Linked DNA regions of Caenorhabditis elegans. The protein of the gene in region 2 interacts with the protein of the main gene of each other region in a pairwise test. Each region holds a gene or a part of one and is shown on either strand. Other genes may lie near its edges. The genes, in order: copb-2 and rskd-1.

Region 1 (3,926 bases), on a different chromosome or scaffold from region 2:
GTTTTAAAATCTCACCAAATAAAGTGGTCTATCAACATGAGCAATAGTGACAATTTCTCCACCGACATAATAGTTGATTCTATTGAGTGCAGTGGTGAAAATAAAGCAGTCCCCGATCCAGAATCCCGTCTTCACAGCTTCTGCCTGTTCTCCAATAACCTCAAACGCGTCTTCAATACCGTCTTCGGTCACTTCTGTTGCATTGGCAACTGCTTCAGCACTGTACTTGAGAACGTAGAATGAATCATCTCCACAAATTGCGACCATCTCTCCGTTGTCACTCCAATAGATGCTCTTGGAAGTAATTTCGATACGACGAACAAGAACGGCTGATTCCCAATCAAAGAAGCACAAAGAGTTGTTCGATCTGAAACAAAAAATTAAATAAAAGTCAATTGATAAGAGTTCAAAAACCTCAAGGCAAGAAGTGGTCCACCAGAAATTCCCTCAAGTACCATATCTGAACGAATTGACTTGTGATCCTTGAAGTTCTTCTTTATCTTCACATTGGTGGCAGATTCACGGACAGCAAACATATTTGGATCAACAGCCCAGACAAACTCGAGTCCTTGTCCGAAATCCTTGTTTCTGAGAGCCATTGCAGTATAAACAATGTATTCTCCGTCACCACAAGCGACAACAAAACGTCCATTAGATGAATGAGCAAGGGTTTGTGGATAGATTTCAGAAGATCCGAGATCTTTTACAGAAAGCGGCAGACGTTCTCCATCTGTAAATGAACTGTCTTAGAGTGATAATAAATGAACACAATTTCTCTTTTTTTAATACTTTCAGAAAACATGTGCCGAACTATACAAAAGTCGAATGAAAGTTTTCCAAACCTTGAATGGCTTCCGACTCTTCAGTTGAGATTGTCTTCAGGTTAGCTTGCTGAATTTCGGAGTGCTTTGCCCACAAAATCTTTCCAGACGAATCCATACTGACTGCTGGTTCTTCTCGGCCTAATTTCAACGTGACGGAACCTTCGTCGTATCCGATGGCAATAGTGTTGGCTCCTTTTTGAGCTTGGATGCACCAAACACGTTCCAACCCATAATTCAAGGTTGTTTCCAGTCTAAAAATTTTAAATTGTTGTTGTGGAAATCGTACTTTAATGTTCTTGCCTGTAGGTGTTTGCATGCCACAATCTAACAGTGGAGTCTTCGGATCCTGTGATTATCAATGGCAGTTCTGGGTGGAAACAAACTGAAGACACATTTTGCGCATGTCCATCGAGCGTTTGCACACACGTTTTATTCTGAAAATATCATTTTGGATGAATGCAAAGAGAAAAAAAACTTACTTGGTAATCCCAAATCTTGACCAGATGGTCATCAGCTCCAGAAATAATGTATGGTTTCTCTCCACCATGATAGTAATCGACACAGTTGACTCCTTTCTCGTGTCCTTCCAAAGTGAAATTCGGAACATTCGATCCGAACTGCCATACTTTGACAGTTTTGTCAAGAGAAGCAGTTGCAAAAGTGTTATTATCTTTTGGATTGATGGCAATCTGCATGACATAATGAGTATGCCCTTCGAATGACTGTTTCATTGCCCATTTGTTATCCCAATCCCACATTTTAACAAGCATGTCGTCGGATGATGAAATGACGTAGGGAAGTGTTGGATGAACAACGAGCGATCGGAGATAATCAGAATGTGCTTCGAATTGATGAACTCGTTCCAATGTGTTGTAGTTGAAAACTCTAATATGCATATCGTCAGATCCCGTGACAACCCAGCTCTTTCTTGGAACGAACTTCGCTGCACGAACTGGTACGTCACACACCTGCAAAATTTAGATTCAGTTATTTCGTAATTTCATGAAGTTTGCACATAAATTTGAAAAAAAGCTTACTTCAAATGACTTTACAAGCGTTTGTGTTTCGTAATTCCAGATGTGAACATTTCCATTGTAAAGAGCAGCTAGAAGCCATGTTTCGACTGGATGCAAGTCGACACATTTCACGCGGTCCGAACGAGCCAGAAGCTTTCTTTTTACATCAAGTCGGAGAGGCATCTTGTTCTGAAAAAAAGCTAAAATAAATAAACTCAATGTAAAATTAAGCTGAGCACGAAGAGGAAGATTTGCAAATAGTCAGCTTATAGAAATAAAATAAAACCGAAAGAACATTCAAAAATCGATAATATTCTGGATTTTTAGAATTCAGATGTTTAAATCAACCGAAATTAATCTTTTTTAGAAGAAAATCTTAAAATTCATCAAAAGATACGTTGGCGAAACGATAGAACACTCAAAAGGTAGAGGCGCATCCATCGCCAACTCAGAAAGCCCCGATCGTATCGAGACCACAGCGGGAAAGTCGGCGTGCCTTTGACTTTTTTGTCTGCGTTTCTCACATTTGTGAGGTGTCTCTTACGAACGGTGGCTGCTTCGTGGCAGATTTTATAAATAAAATTGCATTCAGGAAATGTTGTAAAATGAATGAAAAAAAATTACGAGAAAAATCAACTTTTTTTGAAACTGATAGTGAAGTTGTTGAATGTTTATGCAAATTTTGCTCTGGACAACCTTAAACGTTTTAGATTTTTCAAAAAACTCAGTTATATCTTAAAATCGAAGAGGCCCCCTTTGCAGCCTTAGTTTTACCTGATTATGGCAATCTTCTTGCTTATTGTTGTGTTCTCCACAATGTCCAAACCAAGAGCAATATTATAGTAGAAAGAGTACTCGATACGAGTCAGGAATAATAAGAATAACCGATTTTGCTCGTTCTTTTTGTAAATTATCAAGAGAATTTACATAAATTTAGCTAATTATTTATGTAAAATGTGTGTGTGTGTGTGTGTGGAAATGGTATGATTCTTATAATATTGACAACACAATGCTCAAATACAAATAATCAAAACGTAATGCAACAACTGGTAGAAAATAAATAGCTTTCTGTGGGACTTCAAAAATATGGAACTTTTGGTCATTTTCGTTGTGGTTCCATGGTACGAACCCATGTTCATACAGGGTGGGCCAAAAGTATGGTAACACATGAAGCGCTCTTTTACATGAGATTTTCGCGCGACTGCCACGTCATACGTACATTTTTCTATCGAATACTGATAGCTGAATAAATTTCCTTCAATTTGACCCAAAATTTGTAATGTTTCCCAATAAGGTGCGATTTTAATCACCTCGGCAATTTGGCGAACCCTTTTTAAAACGGCATTTTGGCACGCGGCACTTCCCACACAAACGCACCTCCCACGCACGCCAATAATTTTCAGATGTATGATTTTTATGTTAAATTGAAAGTTAAAGAAATGAAGAAGCGTTTTTGATTGTTTTTGTAGCATATAAAAATTTTCTGTGTCGACACTGGCGCCTAGCAAGAACCTTTGAATATTTCATGAATTAAACTTTCCGAAATTTACTCAGTTTTTTTGGTTTCACAAGGCGTAACGACCCACAAAATCAGCAGAGCTAATTTTTTTCTAAAAATTCTGAAAATTCAGGTCAAACCGTGCCAAAAAGTACTAAAATGAATACTGGTGCCGCCGCTCACATCCATCTTTCTGGCGACTGTGTCATTCAAGACCTAAACTACTGCCACAGTCCGTACAGAAATACCACGATAGAAATTTTTTGGATTTTTGTTTTTAAAGAATCTCCAGACCAAGAGCATTCTTTGAACTATAAAAACTTGTAAGATACTTGATGGATTCCTCGAGAAAAATGTAGAAATCCCGCAGAATGCCGACTTGCGTGCCATAAAGATCGTGATCTCAAAAGTTCTGAAGGCCTGCAGCAATGCGGATGGGGATATTTTGAAAATTCAAAACGTTAATCTGGTCAGTATTTTATGGAGAACAAAACTTGTACACATTGATGTAATAACTCCCTCCACACGTGAAGTTATAGAGCTGCAAACGTGTTACCATACTTTTGGCCCACCCTGTATTTACTAATT
Region 2 (3,926 bases):
AATATGCTGCGCAATACGCATTCTTAGACATTTGTGTTCCCGTAATATATCATACGTTAACCGATGCGTGGAAGTATTTTAAATGTTATTAAACGTAAAAGTTTGAGGATTTGAAAAAAAAGTTACTTTAATTATTTCTACAGTTTATTTAGTTTTGAAAGATATACCTGAATGAGACTGCTGGCTGCACTTTTATAACATTGAAATGCCAACTCATACGCATGTTCTTCTTCAGCTCTTTGAGCCGTTGCCACTAGCTGCCCAGCCGTAACTAAGTAGTCAGCTGGAGTCTCTTCGATTTCTGAATTTATATATTTTTGAATTCGCCAAAAATAAGTGTTCTACCAATATTATGATGCGTAGATCCTCGTAATCTTGGGAAGAGTCGTTTCATTGAGCTTTTCCTTGCAGTTCGTTGCTCTTCGTTTGAAGTTTCGGAAGCTATAGCCACGTCCGGAAATTGAAAGTCGTCGCCAGTCTGAAAAATGAGTGGATATTTCAAAAACTATTTTACTATTTAATTGAAAAATATTTTTTATTTCTGATTAGATTTTTATAATACATTAGACACTACAAAGAAAAAGTTCAGTGAATACATGGATATGACAGAACTTATTGAGGTGAAACTGAAGTGAACGAATCTTTTGAGCGAAAATAATAATTTAGCAAGTGGGACTGACTTGTTCGTGTGTCGGTTCCAAGAGAGCAGCGTGGTTCGGTGAATCGGAATCACTGGAAATAAATTATTTTATAGAAATGTGTACACAGAGATACTAACCTGGAATTTGTATTGGGTTGGTCCAAAATTGAAGAAGAATTGTCATAAAACACCTCGTTTCCAGTGATTTCGTGTGCCGTATAGGTTTTTTCTTTGGCTTTCTGAAATGATAAATATGTTGTTGAGTGGAAGGAAAAGTTTCAAAATGGTCAAGAGAGTTTCGATGAAATTCGGTTTGTACTCGTGCCAGTCTGTTCCCTGGAGACTACTATGGGAGTCTTCGAAAATATGGAAATATTCGAGAAGTTTTCAGTTGTTTTGTTTTAATTTTCGAGAACATTTTCTCAAAAGTAATACAAAAAACTGAAACAAATCGTAAAATTGACGAGCATCGCGTCAACAAGAAACAAACAAGGGACCAATTTCTTTGTCAAAAAGAGAAAATGTGCTAGTGACATCATCTGACGAGACCCTTTTCTTCAGTGTGTGAGCATGACTGTCTGCGTCTTATCTGACTCTTTTTCGTATGTAAATTCTCTCGGCGTCTCGATGCTTTAGCATTCAGAAAGAACGTTACCTCGACAAATTCGTGTAGAAGACGTGATTTACGTAGAACTTCGCTGTCGAACACAAAGTTTAGGCAGGCTTCTATAGCATGTCGGCGCTCTTGGATGACGGATGGATCCGCTGAAAAATTAGAAGAAAAAATAATTGAAGAATAGGATTAAAAATTATTTCGAGGGAAAAAGTGACACAAAGTTTAGTATTTAAGGAAATTACCAAAAACCTACAAGATCCGATCAACTTTCCCGGTGGAAAAACAGGGAAAGTTCCTCGAAGATACAGCTGTTTATGGAGTTTCGAGATTGCCGCATGAAGTTTTGTCATTTCTTTATATCGAGTGCTCAATACAAAAGTTCGACGAGAAACGTCATTTGCGACGAGATGGGATGCCACTGGATTACATTCAATTTCGACAGTGTAAACTGTATGCGAACCAGTAAGATGTTTCTCTTCGGAAATTGATGTTACTGTAGAGCTGCATGACCAGTCAGTCTGAAAATTAGCTTATTGGCAAGTTGGAAAAAACTTCTAGAAGTATCTATAGGAATAAGCTTTTATTAACCTTAAGTTGGTAAAGTATCCTTCCTATATCACTTGTGCAGTAGCTTTCATCTGGATATAACGAGCTCATCTTTCATACTTTCCTGAAATGATTGAAACTTAAAACTTCAGAAGTTGTAATTATTAACAAAAAATCAACATTCAGGGCCAAAATAGAATTCTACACATTTAGAACTTTTCAAAAGTTGGAAAAACTGGCAGATAGGAAAATAAAATCGTTCGGGTTTGTTTACAATTCCGTGTCATTTCAATCATGTTGTCTGCGTCTCCTGATTTTGTGAAATGACCAACAAGATCGATGAGGTTGCGAAAGAAAAGAAGATCATAAAATATTTTTGCAAAGGTTTTTATATTTTCTCACCTTTATAGAAAAATGGGAAACTTGAATTCACAATAAATATCTTTATTAAAACGAGACTCTGATTCCGAATAGTACGAAACGCCGTTCCAATAAAAAACGAAGTTTCCAAGAAGAGATGAGGGCAGGGGAAAGGTGTGGATGAAGGTATCAAATAAATACCTTAGCTATTTTTGAATCAAACCATAAAAAAAGAGCAAAAAGTCTGGGGTAGAAATGAATATGGTATCACAAGAAATTTAGAGAAATGTTACTTTGTAACAAAATCTCAGAAAATTGAAGACAGGAAAGAACAGAAGAACTGTGTGAAAAACCAGAAAAAAAACATTAAATATGAGAAACTGGGCCGATGCAAGAGGTATCTATGGACAACGAAACAACAGTAACAAATGATAATTAATACTCTATTCAACGTCTTCGTAGTCTTATTTATTTCCCCAGAAACTCTTTTTCCACCCGGAAAGCATTCCAGTAAGTCCTTGTTGTTCTTCTTCTTCTTGATTTGAAGTTTTTGACGAAGCAGCTGCTGCAGAAGATCCTTTCGCTGCCTTCTTTGGAGTAGCATCACGATCTTTTTGGAGTTTTTCAAGACGGTCATCAACATTGGGCATCTGTAAATAATTGTTTAAAACTAAATACTTTTTTGATGAATAAGTTTAGATAAAATTTTGATCAGCAAGTTCAAAAATATGATAAATATAAATTACAGCATAGCATCAAACATGTTTTCTCTTTGTTTTTAATGGAAAACAACGATTAGTGTTTTTTTTTCAAGTGAATACGAATTGTCTTACTCTTGCAAAAGTCGAAAAATTGGAATTTCTAAACTACAAAACGATTTTTTAATTTATATACCAAGTTTTGCGTGATGAAAAAACTTACGGTAAGATGGAAGTTTGCCAAATCGAAGAAAATAGGTTTGTTCGGCATTGGAATAAAAGCTGGTGGTAAACTGGCAACTGGAATTGTCTTTTTATCTTTCAAGGAGTTACGAACATCCCATTGACGCCATTCATTGACTGTCTCCAGAAGTGGGCGTTTATCAATAATCTTGGCAAGTTCCGAATCGGTTTTAACATCTCCAGCAGCGGAAGCCAAACGAGCAGCTCGTACAGTAACCTTCGCAGATTCCACTTCAGATCGGAGCTCATTCAATGACGATTGAGTTTCATTGGTGATAAATGAGCTCGATTTTAATTTCTTAAGTTTTCCTTCTGCATCTTGAACTCGAGAAACAGTTCTGTCAAAGAGAGCAGCGGCTTCACTGTACTTATGAAGAGCAGAATAAGAAGAAGCCATATAGAAACATCTGAAAGCTCTGTAGTACTCAACTTTGACTTCAAATGCTTGAATAAGATTTTTGTCATGATCAGCTCCCGGGATTTCTGCGACTTCTTTGTAAATTTCGATAACAGAATCGTAGAGTCTCAAAAGATCTTGAGGTTTGCTCTTCTTTTCACTTTTTGTGTTATCAATAATAGCCAAGTAACGCGAAGCAGTTCCGTTCATTTTCAGGAATTCCAAATAAGCCTTGATTGATTGAAGAACAGTCGTGTCAGCATTTTCAGAACTTTTACGGCGAATAATATCCGAAATTCGATCTATAGCATCACGAGTATCAGCGGTGGCTTTTTCAAAGAGAGCCATTTTCTCTTTTGGAGTTTGGCATTGTGCCAATTCGACTTCTGTTTGCTTCCATTCTTGAACAACTTGCTTTGCTTTTTC

The links.
Region 1: the proteins of rskd-1 (region 2) and copb-2 interact in a two-hybrid assay, tested with the Caenorhabditis elegans proteins (one large-scale study listed by BioGRID).

Annotation. Positions count from the first base shown.
Region 1 is NC_003282.8:9,457,834-9,461,759, reverse strand, and holds the start of copb-2 (putative coatomer subunit beta'), read right to left. Parts: upstream 2,030-3,926; 5' UTR 2,024-2,029; coding exon 1,862-2,023; intron 1,793-1,861; coding exon 1,304-1,792; intron 1,259-1,303; coding exon 1,125-1,258; intron 1,076-1,124; coding exon 843-1,075; intron 731-842; coding exon 415-730; intron 368-414; coding exon 16-367; intron 1-15. UniProt on the Caenorhabditis elegans protein: The coatomer is a cytosolic protein complex that binds to dilysine motifs and reversibly associates with Golgi non-clathrin-coated vesicles, which further mediate biosynthetic protein transport from the ER, via the Golgi up to the trans Golgi network.
Region 2 is NC_003283.11:12,286,690-12,290,615, forward strand, and holds the start of rskd-1 (PX domain-containing protein), read right to left. Parts: upstream 1,927-3,926; 5' UTR 1,914-1,926; coding exon 1,845-1,913; intron 1,775-1,844; coding exon 1,510-1,774; intron 1,406-1,509; coding exon 1,296-1,405; intron 880-1,295; coding exon 779-879; intron 733-778; coding exon 681-732; coding exon of another isoform or gene 663-680; exon of another isoform or gene 524-662; intron 479-523; coding exon 346-478; intron 302-345; coding exon 168-301; intron 1-167. Other genes in the region: srpa-68 (Signal recognition particle subunit SRP68), read right to left, coding at 2,627-2,812, 3,084-3,926.